Mus musculus: one gene and its partners. The main gene of each other region encodes a partner of the protein of the gene in region 2 in a complex. Links are inferred from orthologs where the notes say so. Each region holds a gene or a part of one and is shown on either strand. Other genes may lie near its edges.

Region 1 (3,725 bases), on a different chromosome or scaffold from region 2:
CCAGAGTCATGCTTGTCCAAATTTTCCCACAATGAAGTTACATAAGAATTGGCAAGGCTTGCCCGGCGTGGTGGCGCATGCCTTTAATCCCAGCACTCGGGAGGCAGAGGCAGGCGGATTTCTGAGTTCAAGGCCAGCCTGGTCTACAAAGTGAGTTCCAGGACAGCCAGGGTTACACAGAGAAACCCTGTCTCAACCCCCCACCCCACCCCCCACCCCCCACCCCCCACCCCCGCAAAGAAAAAGAATTGTCAAGGCTGCGGCTCAGTGCTCAAGAGCACTTGCTGTTCTTCCAGAGGACCTTGGTTCAGTTCCTAGCACCCACGTGGTGGCTCCCAACCGTGGGATCTGGTGTCTCCTTCCGGCCTCTTTGGGCCCTAGGCATACACATGACGCACAGACATATGCGCAGACAGAACATCCATACACATTAAGAAAATTACGTTTTAAAAGAATCGCCAGGGCTGGGGGTGTAGCTCAGTGGGTAGAGTACTTTATAGCATGCACAAGGCTGAGGCTTGAATTCCCACCCAGCGCTATAATCTAGCATGCCTATAGTCTCAGTGACTTGGGAGACTAAAGCAAGAGGGTCACTTGAACCCAGGATTCGGAGGGCGGCTCACTTGACAGGGCAGACTCTTTTGCAAAATAAATCAAAGGAGTTAAACAGGGTTTGGTGGTACATGCCTGTAGATCGAAGCCCTCTGGAGGTGGAAGTAGGGGGATTAGAACCTCAAGGATAACGTCGGCTACATAAGGGGTTCAAGGCCGGTCTGCACTATATGAGCTCTGGCTTCCAAAGTGAGGGAAAGAATTCCTCTATGGACTGTATGGCTTCTGCTGTAGTCAGATGGGGATAATAATAGTTACCTTCATGGAATGAATAGTAGATGAGATCACGGAATCAAGATGCTCAGCGTAGTGTGGGCACAGGTTGTGGGAGTTCAATACATGGTGTCACTAGCTCAATGCTACGCATCACTTCCCCTAGGCACCCAGCACAAGCTAGGTGACTTAGTCATCTGGGCTCATGGTTGCCATTTCTATCTTGGAGGAAGGTGTGCCTTGAGGGCCCTCACCATCCGCCCACATTCCCGTGGCTCAGGGGGAGAACAGAGTCGGGAATGAATGAATTTTGGACGTCAAGCCTGGGCTCTTCCCATTCTGCTGTGCCCTCCTTCTGGACATCCTCCCCCATTTTGAAACACATGTGCTGGAGTGGGGTGGGGGGAGGAGCTCCCCTAAGACAGTGGAGCAGGGCGGGGCCCTCCTCCTAAGAATCCAGGAGAACGCCAGAGAGTGCCACCTGCTCCGAAGCTTAAATTTCCCTGCAAAGGACCTTGGCTAAATTAGGTAATGGGCTAGGACTCTAGGAGGGGAGGGGCTTGCTGCCCCCTGCATCTGATTGGTCAGGATATCCAGTTCTGGGGAGGAGGGAGGAGGGAAGAGAGGATGCCCCTACAAATCCTGGGGGCTAGAGAGATCTGGGGCACCTTTGGGTGGTGGAGTGCGGAGGAGACAACCCACAGCGGAGGAGTCCCAGTCGCCAGCAACCATGGTAAGGACAAGAAGGGTCTTCACACTTTTGTCCCCAGGCTACTTCTAGGCCCCTCTCTGTCCTAGAACTGTGTGTTCTGTGGGCAGGAATATGGACATCTGAAGGTGGAAGGGTTGCCAGAACTCAAGTCCCGAGGAGATGTCCTATAAAGGCTATGACTTCTCTTGGGTGGGGAAGGCTGGCCAGGATAGTTCAGGAATTAATCTTCAAGGTTTATGAGTTCCTGGCCACCTTGAGGTTTGGAACAGTGCTATTGTGCAGCCAGAGCTGTGTGGAAAGGTCTTAGCCTGTCTGCTTCCACGGAGAGATGGAGAGCACGAGGGCAGAAAAGTGACCCAGCAGGGCAGACACAGAGTAGGCTTCATAGGCTCAGCCAAGCCTGTGGCGACCCAAGAAGGAAGGCTTCCTCTAAGAATCCTGAGGAGGATGGTTAGTAGGGTGGGTACCCGGCCAGCGTTAGAGCCTCTGACCAGCCACAGAGGGGGTCTGATCTGGACCTGCCACTTTCTTCTGCGTACCCCTCCTACTTGACTTGAAGAAGTAATTGGACTCCAGAGACCAGCTGCCATTGCCCATGCCCAACTAAAAATAGCCTATCCTCCTGGATCAGGCCAAGGGCCGGAGGAGGGAAGGAGGAACTGGGCCAGCTGGCTGAAGGATGTCTTGGGACTCGTCACCCCTTCTTCACCATCCCGAGTCCAAAGCCCTGACCCAGATGGCCTGGCTTGGATGTGTCCCAGAGAAATTCACAGAAATCTTACTTACATGCTCACATGTGGCATGCCAGGCCAACCCGAGTGAGCTACATAGCAAGACTCTCTAAACACCAAAGCCAGAACGTTGAAATGGAACAAAGGGTTTTTATTTTCACACCAGGGCAAGGCTCCGTCACATTTGACATCAAGAGAGGTGTTTACGCCGATGACCGAGTGGGAAGTCTTGCCTCTGAGAACTGTCTGAGGCAAAGCTGCCCATCTCTTCTTGTGGTCTCAGCGTCCAAGCGCTTGGCAGATGTTCTGTGACTTTTGCATTCCGTTATTTAGTTGAGGACAAATATTCATTGACCAACTGGTCAAGTCCCAGGCAGCAATAGGAGACAGGGAAACTAAAAGATCACCAGTGAATGGCACTAACACACTCAAGCCCTCTCTCAATCCTGATTTCTTATTATCTCTACAAAGTCATAGGAAGAGTGACTTGCCAAAGGTCACTGTTGGGGTGGGGGTTCCCCGACTACTCTCTGAAGAAACTGTGGGTATAACCTGTGTCCCTTTGGCACTGGGGATGGGCACCAACGGGTACCTGGGAGGTACTGCTGGTTTGGAGTGGTTCTGGAGGACCCAGGGGCTCTTCCTAATACAAGAGGGGGCTAGGGAGGCTGAAGCTGGGGTGAGAGTCTGCCCTTCTACGCTCTGATTCTCTCTGCTTTCTACAGACGGACCAACAGGCTGAGGCCAGGTCCTACCTCAGCGAGGAGATGATCGCTGGTGAGTAGAGCTAGCCATTGGGAGAGATGCGGTGTGAGGCTGACAATCCAACTGGCCTCACCCATCGCTCCTCCTGTCTCCCCGCTAGAGTTCAAGGCTGCCTTTGACATGTTCGATGCTGATGGCGGTGGGGACATCAGCGTTAAAGAGTTGGGCACCGTGATGAGGATGCTAGGGCAGACACCCACCAAAGAGGAATTGGATGCCATCATCGAGGAGGTGGACGAGGATGGTGAGTTGGGCTCCTCCAGGGCAGGGGACCGGGAGGAGAGAGGCACAGGGCACCTTGGGCTAAGCAGGCCCCACATCTGCCAACCCCGATCCTTGCAGGCAGCGGTACTATCGACTTTGAAGAGTTCTTGGTCATGATGGTGCGCCAGATGAAAGAGGATGCGAAGGGGAAGAGCGAAGAGGAACTGGCTGAGTGCTTCCGCATCTTTGACAGGTGCGTGGGGCTTCCGGGATCCTGGACCTGAGAGCAGATGGAGCCCGTGGGCCTGAAGTGAAGAAGCAGGCTGGCCAGGGTGAGGTTGACCCTGTGTCCTTCTCTGTCCTTCCCTCCCAAAGGAACGCAGACGGCTACATTGATGCTGAGGAGCTAGCTGAGATTTTCCGGGCTTCTGGGGAGCATGTGACAGAAGAGGAGATCGAATCCCTGATGAAGGATGGTGATAAAAACA
Region 2 (3,661 bases):
TGAAAGAATGGAGACTAGGCCTCCCTTGGGGTGTGCCTGCCAGAACCATTCTGAGTGAATGACTGCACCAAGGAACAAAGAAGCTGATCCCAGACTCCCACTCAGATATGTTGGAGTCCATGGTCATCTTTCTCCACGTTCTGTCATGTTAGACAGGTCCAGACATTGACCACACCCACCAGTTACAGGATACAGCCCAGGGTCTTTGAATTCTACCCAAGCAGTATGGCCTCTCTCCTGCCACACTGCTGGTCACTGATGATGGACTCCAGAGTGGGCAGAGACAGAACTAGACCACACTGTGAAAGAGATGTGAATCCTTTATTGGAGCGAGGCCAAGTACTCCCAGACTGGATGTTGGGTGCTTCCCCAATGCTAGGGTGGTACTGGGGAAGTGGGCAGTTAGGACTCAGACTCGAACATTTTCTTCCGGCCCTCCATGCCAGACTTCTCCTCAATATTCTTCCTCCAGTCACCCACGTCACGCAGGTCCCGTTCCTGAGGGTAGGACCAGAGAGGTCTCAGATCCACTCCAGTCTGCTCCAGACTACCCTTGGCCTTGCTTTACTATCTATGAAAGGGACTGTAAGTGGACTCTCCCTCTTGGCTCTCCCCTGGGCCCTGACCTACCTTCTCAGTGTCTTCCTTCTTGACCTGCTTCAGGTTGGCCCTCAGGTCCATGCACACCTTGTGCTTAGAGCCCAGCAGCGCCTTCAGCATGGCGTCGGCAGACATACGCACCCTCCGAAGTGGGGGCCTCTTGAACTTGCCCCTCAGGTCAAATAGCTTCTGGTTCATGTCTTCCAGCTGGGAGGAAGGAACAGGAGGTTTAGGAGCCTGACAGCCTCCATGTCCCTGATCTTGCCCTGTATCTTTGGCCTTACTTTCTCATCACCTGGCTTCATCCCATAGCAGCTGGTTCCACCTTCATATCGCCTGTGCTACCCTGCAAGCCACTGGCTCCACCCCATGCAATATGTCCCACCCCCTCACCATTGGCTCCTCCCCATGCCATATGCCCCACCCCCTCACCACGGGCTCCTCCCTCTCACCTCCTTGCTGCTCTTCTGCACCTTCACCTCCATGTCATATTTCTCCTCTTCAGCCACGTCGATCTTCGCATGCAGTTGTTTGCAGAGTTCCTGGGTGGGCAAGCAGTGGGTGGGTGGCCACCCTGATACCTGAGGATCATTGTTCCCTCCCAGTCCTGATCAGGAGGGTTGACCTGCTGAGGAGTTGGGATAGTAGGGTCTTGGGTGGTACGGGGCAGGAAGGAACTACCTGCACTTCAGACATGGAGCCTGGGATGTGCAGTGGCGGGCAGTGTTCTGACAGGTAGTTCTCCTTCTCAGATTCTCGGCGGCTTTCCTCTTTCTCCAGCTCTGTGGCCGCTATCTGGAGCATCACACTCTGAGAAACAGAATGGTGGGAGTGAGGGTCTGCAGTGAACTCCCACCCCTACCTCTATATCCACAGGCCTCTGCAGCAGCCCACCCTTACCTTCAGGTGCTGTCTCCGGGCCGTGATGGCCCTGTTGCGCTTCTGCAGGACAGGACAGAGGGGTCAGAGTCAGGCCTTAGCTGGAGCTCTGACCTGCTTAGAGTCATCTGACTTGGGGTTCCCAAGGAGATAACAAGGCCACTGCCCAGGGCCCTGGTGTTTTTCCCTAGTCCAGGGCCTGCTTCAGGGACACATGCCTGTGGTCCTGACTCTTTGCTTAGGTGGTACATAGGGCTGAAGGGGGTAATGGGGATAAGGAGGCAGGATATAGCCAGGCCTCAGGGACTGTGGGCAAGGGGAGGCCCGGAAGGTGAGTGGTGAACAGAAATTAGAAAGGAGAAGTGATTCCCTTGTGACTAGGCCCAAGTCTTACTTCCCTTGCCTCATAAAGCACCAGGCAGGCACTTCCTCTCTTTCTCTGGGGGTAGTTCAGGGGGTGGGGCACTTGGGGGCCTTGACAGGGGTGTCTTCTGTCCTAGCCTCAGGGGACTATTATAGCCTCTAGTGATACTCACCTCCTCACTGTCCCAGGAGGAAGAGGGAGGTGGGAGTGGGAGAAAAAAAGAGAAGTTAGACTGTGGCTCACAGGAGTAGCCATGAAACCTAGGGTTTGATGGGGTTGAAGGGTTGGGCGGCAGCCACAAAGGGCAGGGAGATAGGAGACCCAAGCCCTGGTGAGGGACTGCAGTACGGGTCACCCTGGGTATCACTTACTCTCCCATCCTGAGATCTCAAGCTCTGATCCTGTGGGGAGAGAGGTGATGGTGTCAGTGTCCGCCTTGCGTGAGGCTAGGCATGGAGACCTGGCCTTGCTAGGCTACTTCTGCTCTACCCGCAACTCAGACCTTCTCAGAGGACATCACCCCCCACCCCCACCCTGAAGATGAGAAGTAAGAGGAGAAAGTGTTCCCAAAATGTCCCGGGCGGGGCCTGAGGAGCTGCAGCTGTCCCCGAGGGAGGGATGGGGTGGGGCTGGCCAGCACAGGTGGCTGCCAGGGTGAGCCTGTTATTTTTAACTCTTGCTCCTTTGGCTTGAGAAGTGAATGCACGGAAGAAAGTGTTCTTCTGTGTGGCCTGGGGGCTCAGGTCCCTACTTGCTTGACCTGAACATTTTCCTGCTTGTGTGTCCCCAGAGACAGGGCCTGTTATCCGAGGCCCATTGTAGACCCCTGTCCTATCCTAGTAGCACATGTTGCTCTCAACCCTAGATCTGTGGGAGACCTCAGAGAGAGCTGTCGGCAGCAGACCCCCAAACCCCCAAGCCCCTGCCCGGGGAAGTCCTCCTATGAGCCAGCCTGAGTAGTGCTCTAGTCTCCCACCTCAAGAAGATGGGCTGGGCCTCACCTAGATGCTGTGCAGCAGTGCTGGGAGCGAGGTCAGGCCGGCAGCAGTGAGTTGGGCTGGTGGGCCAGGGGGAGGGGTATAAATTGCTTTCCCTGGGCCGGGCCCCTGCTCAGAAAGGGCATGGAGTCTCCTCAGACCAATGGGGGCACAGAGAGGAGGAGAGCCTCTCCACCTGCCCAGCCGCCTGGCCGGTCAGCCCAGGCGCTGGCCTGTCCAAGAAGTCTTGGGGTGGGGAGTTGGGGGTGGTTTGCTCTATTTATGTCTCAATGACGAGTTCAAGATGCCAGCCTTGTTCCTGCAAGAGCCCTCAGGACAGCAAGGGTAACCTTCCATGTGGGTCTCCAAGGTACCCAGCTCAAACATCCACTGAAGTCTTCCTCCAAAGGAAACCGGACTTCACCAAAAGTAGGCTGAACTGGAGTCATTGTCAAATGGTATGTGTGGTCTTGTAGTTTTGCACCCACTTGGCCGCTCATTGCCTGCTGGGTGTTCATGCCCTGCTTGGACCCCTGGGCTGACTGTTCACCTCACCAGTCTTCCTGCAAAATTGAGCGCACATGCGCGCGCGCACACACACACACACACACACACACACACACACACACACACACCAAACAAAAACAAAAGCATTCTCTTAGGCCCTGTGTGGAAGGCAGTCAGGGCTCAGGAGAGTGGTGCCCACCTCTTATAGTGAACTTGCCTTTCTGCCCAGGAAGAGAGAAGCAAAAGGGTCCCTGGACCAGCAGCCGGGCCTCTCTCCGCCTGCCACACACCCTGCCCATGGGTGCCTCTGCACAGGCAACTTGAAACATGTCCT
Region 3 (3,725 bases), on a different chromosome or scaffold from region 2:
CTCTGTAGACTAGGTTGACCTCAAACTCAGAGATTCACTTGCCTCTATCTCCCGAGTGCTGGGATTAAAGGTGTGCGCCACCACTGCCCAGCTGAAACCACCCCTTCTCCTCTCTGCTTGGGCCAGGGTCAGAAGCCAAGCAAGTCCTCACTTGTCAAACATGCGGAAGAGATCCGACAGCTCCTCCTCAGACTTCCCTTTGCTGTCGTCCTTCATGCACCGAACCATCATGACAAGAAACTCATCGAAGTCCACTGTGCCACTGCCTGTGGGTAGGCAGCAGGGCCGGAGAGAGAACAGTTAGCATTCCAGCAATCCACGCCCCCCCCCCTCCTCCCCACACTATAGGGCTAGTGTGTTCCTTTGCCCACTCCTCTTGTTTGAGATAGAACCTTGCTCTGCAGTCCAAGATGGACTGGACCATAGAGAGCTATGTGACCCAATCAGACTGACTTCAAACTCACAGCAGATCTACTACCTCAGCCTTCTTGGAATCACAGTATGAGCTACTTGCCAAGTTTCTGGATGAGATGGTGAAGATATGGAGGGGAGGTAGCTCCTGGGCCAGTGAACCCAGGGTGCTACATACACGTGTGGAGACTGGAGTGGGTGAAGGGACTCACCATCCTCGTCTACTTCGTCAATCATCTCCTGCAGCTCCTCAGGTGTGGGGTTCTGGCCCAGCATCCTCATCACCTTGCCCAGCTCCTTGGTGCTGATGCAGCCATCCTCCGCGCCCAGGACAAAGATATCAAAGGCAGCCTTGAACTCTGGGTCCAACAGAGGGTGAGAAGATTGGATCAGCAGCCAGGAGGACACTAGGAATCCAGGTCCCTGGGGCCACCAGGAAATTGTCCACCTCCCTTCGAGAGTTCTTTGAGGTCACAGCAAGGAGAACCCTCAGATTATAGCCTCTAATCTGGGGTTCATTCCTGGAAAGGCGTCCCCCCTCTACGCCCCCCCAGCCCTGCTGTCCCCTCAATGGGAGACACTTACCATTCTTCTGCTCCTCTGTCAACTGTTCTACCTAGAGAGAAGAGGGGAACTCAGGACCTCAGGACCCAAGCTCAGGCCTTAGCAGACTTAGAGACTGACCCCATTCTACAGGTGGGAAGAATGATAACAGAAGGAGAATATATTCCCAGGTTACAAAGTCCTCCTTCCCTGCCCTAAGGTGACCCAGATGGTTTCTCAGAGGCTGGGCTAGGGCCAAGGTGACAGGCAGGCACCCCTCCCAGGACCAAGGTGTCCTGAGTGACAATAGTCATTGACCATTGCATGTCCTTTATGTCATCCTAATGAAACTTAAGCTGCATGGCCTGAGAGACAGCTGTCCCTCAGGTTGAGACAATAAAACGAATGTGGGGGCGAGCAAAGCCACCCACTGTAACCTGACCAGGGTGGCCACTGAGCTATTTTTAAAGGGGGACAAAGTTAAACCTGGTGATTGTTCTGGGGACTTTGGTATGCAGGGGGTGGGGTAGTGTTATCTGCCCCCCTGGCCTACTGGTGCTGCCTCAGGAGCCAAAATTAGTCCCCAGCCCCGCCAGGCCTTGTATGGGCACTGGGTGGAGGGCCACCCCCCTACTCCAGCTCCACAGACTCCTACAAGATAGCCAAGGATACCATAGGAACCAGCTGCAGCCCTTCCCTGCTCACAAGTGGGGCCATATTCCGGGGGTTGGGAGAGAATTTCCTGAGAACAGCTGTTTGCTAGGATTTTCTTGTCTCTGAAGCAGGTATATCAAAAGTCCCTCAGCGTCCCCAGGAAATCGAACAGTCTTAGGGTCACTGTTCTCTAACCCTGACTCTTATCACTCTCAACTCCTACCTAACCCCTGAGCCTGCCAGGGACTGAGGTTCCAACAAGCCATTCCTTCTTCCCTCCCTCTCCTCAGGCCTGTACCTTCAAAGCATCTTTCCCATCCCAGGACTCAAGTTCTCCAGCCCTCTCACAATTCCCTCCCACCTTCTAGAGCCTCCTCATCCAGCTCAGGGGCTAGAGGAGAGAGGCAGATCTGAGTATGTAAGAAGCAGATTGTGAGAAATGGAAGCTTGGGAGGGGGTGCGGGGCGCAGACCTGGAGACACACAGAGAGACAAAGACTCAGAGACATCGTGAGGAAGGAACAGAGATGGAAAGACCTTGTGAAAGACCAACAGATGTCTAAAGAATAAAAACACAAATACACTCAAGACAGTGACAGGTTAGAAACAGAGGGAGACACAGGATGCTGAAAGCTGAGACCATACCCCTAGCCACATTGACAAACCCCTGAATTGCTACCCTTTCTGCATCCCCCAAATGTCAGCTCAAGGGGCTGGGTTACAGGTGTGTGGGGACCCTTTTGAGTCCCCCATCACTTCCCTAGTGTACCCCTGTCCTCCATCCTTAGCTAAGGGAACCCCAATGGACCTACCCACCCTAACCCCTTAAAGATTCATCTCTCACCGCAGCTTTGTAGATGTCATCCATTCTGGCGACAGCTCACAGGACAGGCTACTGGGGTTGCCAGCCAGCCAGCCCTCTGCTTGGGCTTATATAGCCCTGCCTCCCTCCACCTCCTGCTACATTCCCAGCCCAGCCCACCACTGCCTGGAATATCCTCCACCCCCTCCCTGGTCCCTGTAATCTCAGGCTGGCCAAAGTCCCTGTATCATCTGCCTAGGGCCAGGAGCTATGAAGGACTGCAAGGACCAGGTCTCTTGCCATCTGTTCCCCAGACCCCACCCCACCCCCAGGGAAGTCTCAAGAAAAAAAAAAGAATGTATTGCTTTTATTTATGAGTGCATGTGGAAGTCAAAGGACAACTTGCAGGAGTCATCTATCTCTCTCTGCTACCTAGGTTCCCAGGAACCCAGGACTGAACTCAAGTTTTCAGGTTTGGGAGCAAGCACCTAAATGCAATACACACACACACACACACACACACACACACACACATCCTCAACAACCTCAGGAAAAAGTTTCCTGAATGAATGAAAATATGAGCACACAGGAAATGTGAAGTAAACAGTTCGGTCTTCTATGGAATCACAGTGACTTGCCTGAGGTCAAGCTGACCGGAGAATCCCTACCTTATATTACACCCCCTGAGAGATGGTAGCATGCCAACAGAGGCTGGCAGTGTAAGTCCTGCCAAGAAACACTTCCTATGCAAGGTTCAGAGTATAATATGACACTGGTAATGGAAGAAGTCACTGGCCCACAAAGAATAGGCTGGCCTGAAGCCCTTCAGCGGGATCTACCACGCCGCAACCTTCCATCTTTCAAGGACAACAATCAGTGTTCACTTCGGGTTTGAGTCAGCTGCATTCTGTGAGTCAACAAGTGTCCCTAAAGAACCCTATGTCTATCAGGATTCTCTCTTTTCCTCCTCCGGTTGGGTCATCTCTTCTCCAGCTAAGTCTTCCCTATGGTTGTTCCCTATGGATGTTTCTTCAGCCACGCTCTTGTGTCCAAGGCCTAGTCTGTCTCCTCCTCACCTTGAGCTCTTGCAGGATGTCATCTGGGAAACCAGATGGACAGCGCATATCTCTTCCATCCACCTGCACGTCTGCTGCATATAAGCTCTCCCTGAACACACCAGTGTGCCGCCTAGCACACTGCCAGGGGAAAGCCCGTGGGGTACTGAGCACTGCAGAATCACCACAATCAATTCTCCACCAGTACTTTTAACAACAAACCCCCCAAGTGTCGGAGAGTCCCTCTGGTCCTTGTTCCAT

Evidence for each region. The genes of interacting proteins can lie anywhere in the genome.
Region 1: the proteins of Tnni2 (region 2) and Tnnc2 are in contact, whole or in part, in a crystal structure (PDB 1A2X), measured with the Oryctolagus cuniculus proteins. The link is inferred for Mus musculus from reciprocal best matches to the Homo sapiens genes TNNI2 and TNNC2. Residues at the interface, in NP_001076252.1 of Oryctolagus cuniculus: Glu5, Asn8, Arg9, Ile11, Thr12, Arg14, Arg15, Gln16, His17, Leu18, Lys19, Ser20, Val21, Met22, Leu23, Ile25, Ala26, Glu29, Leu30, Glu33; in NP_001076114.1 of Oryctolagus cuniculus: Ser13, Glu15, Met16, Ala18, Glu19, Ala22, Lys91, Leu96, Glu98, Cys99, Arg101, Ile102, Phe103, Arg105, Ile119, Phe120, Ala122, Ser123, Glu125, His126, Val127, Glu131, Ser134, Leu135, Asp138, Phe152, Met155, Met156, Val159, Gln160.
Region 3: the proteins of Tnni2 (region 2) and Tnnc1 are in contact, whole or in part, in an NMR structure (PDB 2MKP), measured with the Homo sapiens proteins. The link is inferred for Mus musculus from reciprocal best matches to the Homo sapiens genes TNNI2 and TNNC1. Residues at the interface, in NP_001139301.1 of Homo sapiens: Arg116, Met117, Ser118, Ala119, Asp120, Ala121, Met122, Leu123, Ala125, Leu126, Leu127, Lys130, His131, Lys132; in NP_003271.1 of Homo sapiens: Asn18, Glu19, Phe20, Ala22, Ala23, Ile26, Val44, Met45, Met47, Leu48, Gln50, Pro52, Glu56, Phe77, Met80, Met81, Cys84, Met85, Lys86, Asp87.

What each region holds. Positions count from the first base shown.
Region 1 is NC_000068.7:164,777,496-164,781,220, reverse strand, and holds the start of Tnnc2 (troponin C, skeletal muscle), read left to right. Parts: upstream 1-1,486; 5' UTR 1,487-1,555; coding exon 1,556-1,558; intron 1,559-2,993; coding exon 2,994-3,045; intron 3,046-3,133; coding exon 3,134-3,277; intron 3,278-3,375; coding exon 3,376-3,490; intron 3,491-3,612; coding exon 3,613-3,725. UniProt on the Homo sapiens protein: Troponin is the central regulatory protein of striated muscle contraction. Tn consists of three components: Tn-I which is the inhibitor of actomyosin ATPase, Tn-T which contains the binding site for tropomyosin and Tn-C.
Region 2 is NC_000073.6:142,441,052-142,444,712, reverse strand, and holds Tnni2 (troponin I, fast skeletal muscle), read right to left. Parts: upstream 2,898-3,661; 5' UTR 2,845-2,897; intron 2,245-2,844; 5' UTR 2,223-2,244; coding exon 2,215-2,222; intron 2,023-2,214; coding exon 2,016-2,022; intron 1,543-2,015; coding exon 1,501-1,542; intron 1,411-1,500; coding exon 1,282-1,410; intron 1,143-1,281; coding exon 1,053-1,142; intron 808-1,052; coding exon 631-807; intron 499-630; coding exon 403-498; 3' UTR 303-402; downstream 1-302. UniProt on the Homo sapiens protein: Troponin I is the inhibitory subunit of troponin, the thin filament regulatory complex which confers calcium-sensitivity to striated muscle actomyosin ATPase activity.
Region 3 is NC_000080.6:31,207,105-31,210,829, reverse strand, and holds the start of Tnnc1 (troponin C, slow skeletal and cardiac muscles), read right to left. Parts: upstream 2,519-3,725; 5' UTR 2,476-2,518; coding exon 2,452-2,475; intron 1,028-2,451; coding exon 997-1,027; intron 771-996; coding exon 624-770; intron 267-623; coding exon 152-266; intron 1-151. UniProt on the Homo sapiens protein: Troponin is the central regulatory protein of striated muscle contraction. Tn consists of three components: Tn-I which is the inhibitor of actomyosin ATPase, Tn-T which contains the binding site for tropomyosin and Tn-C.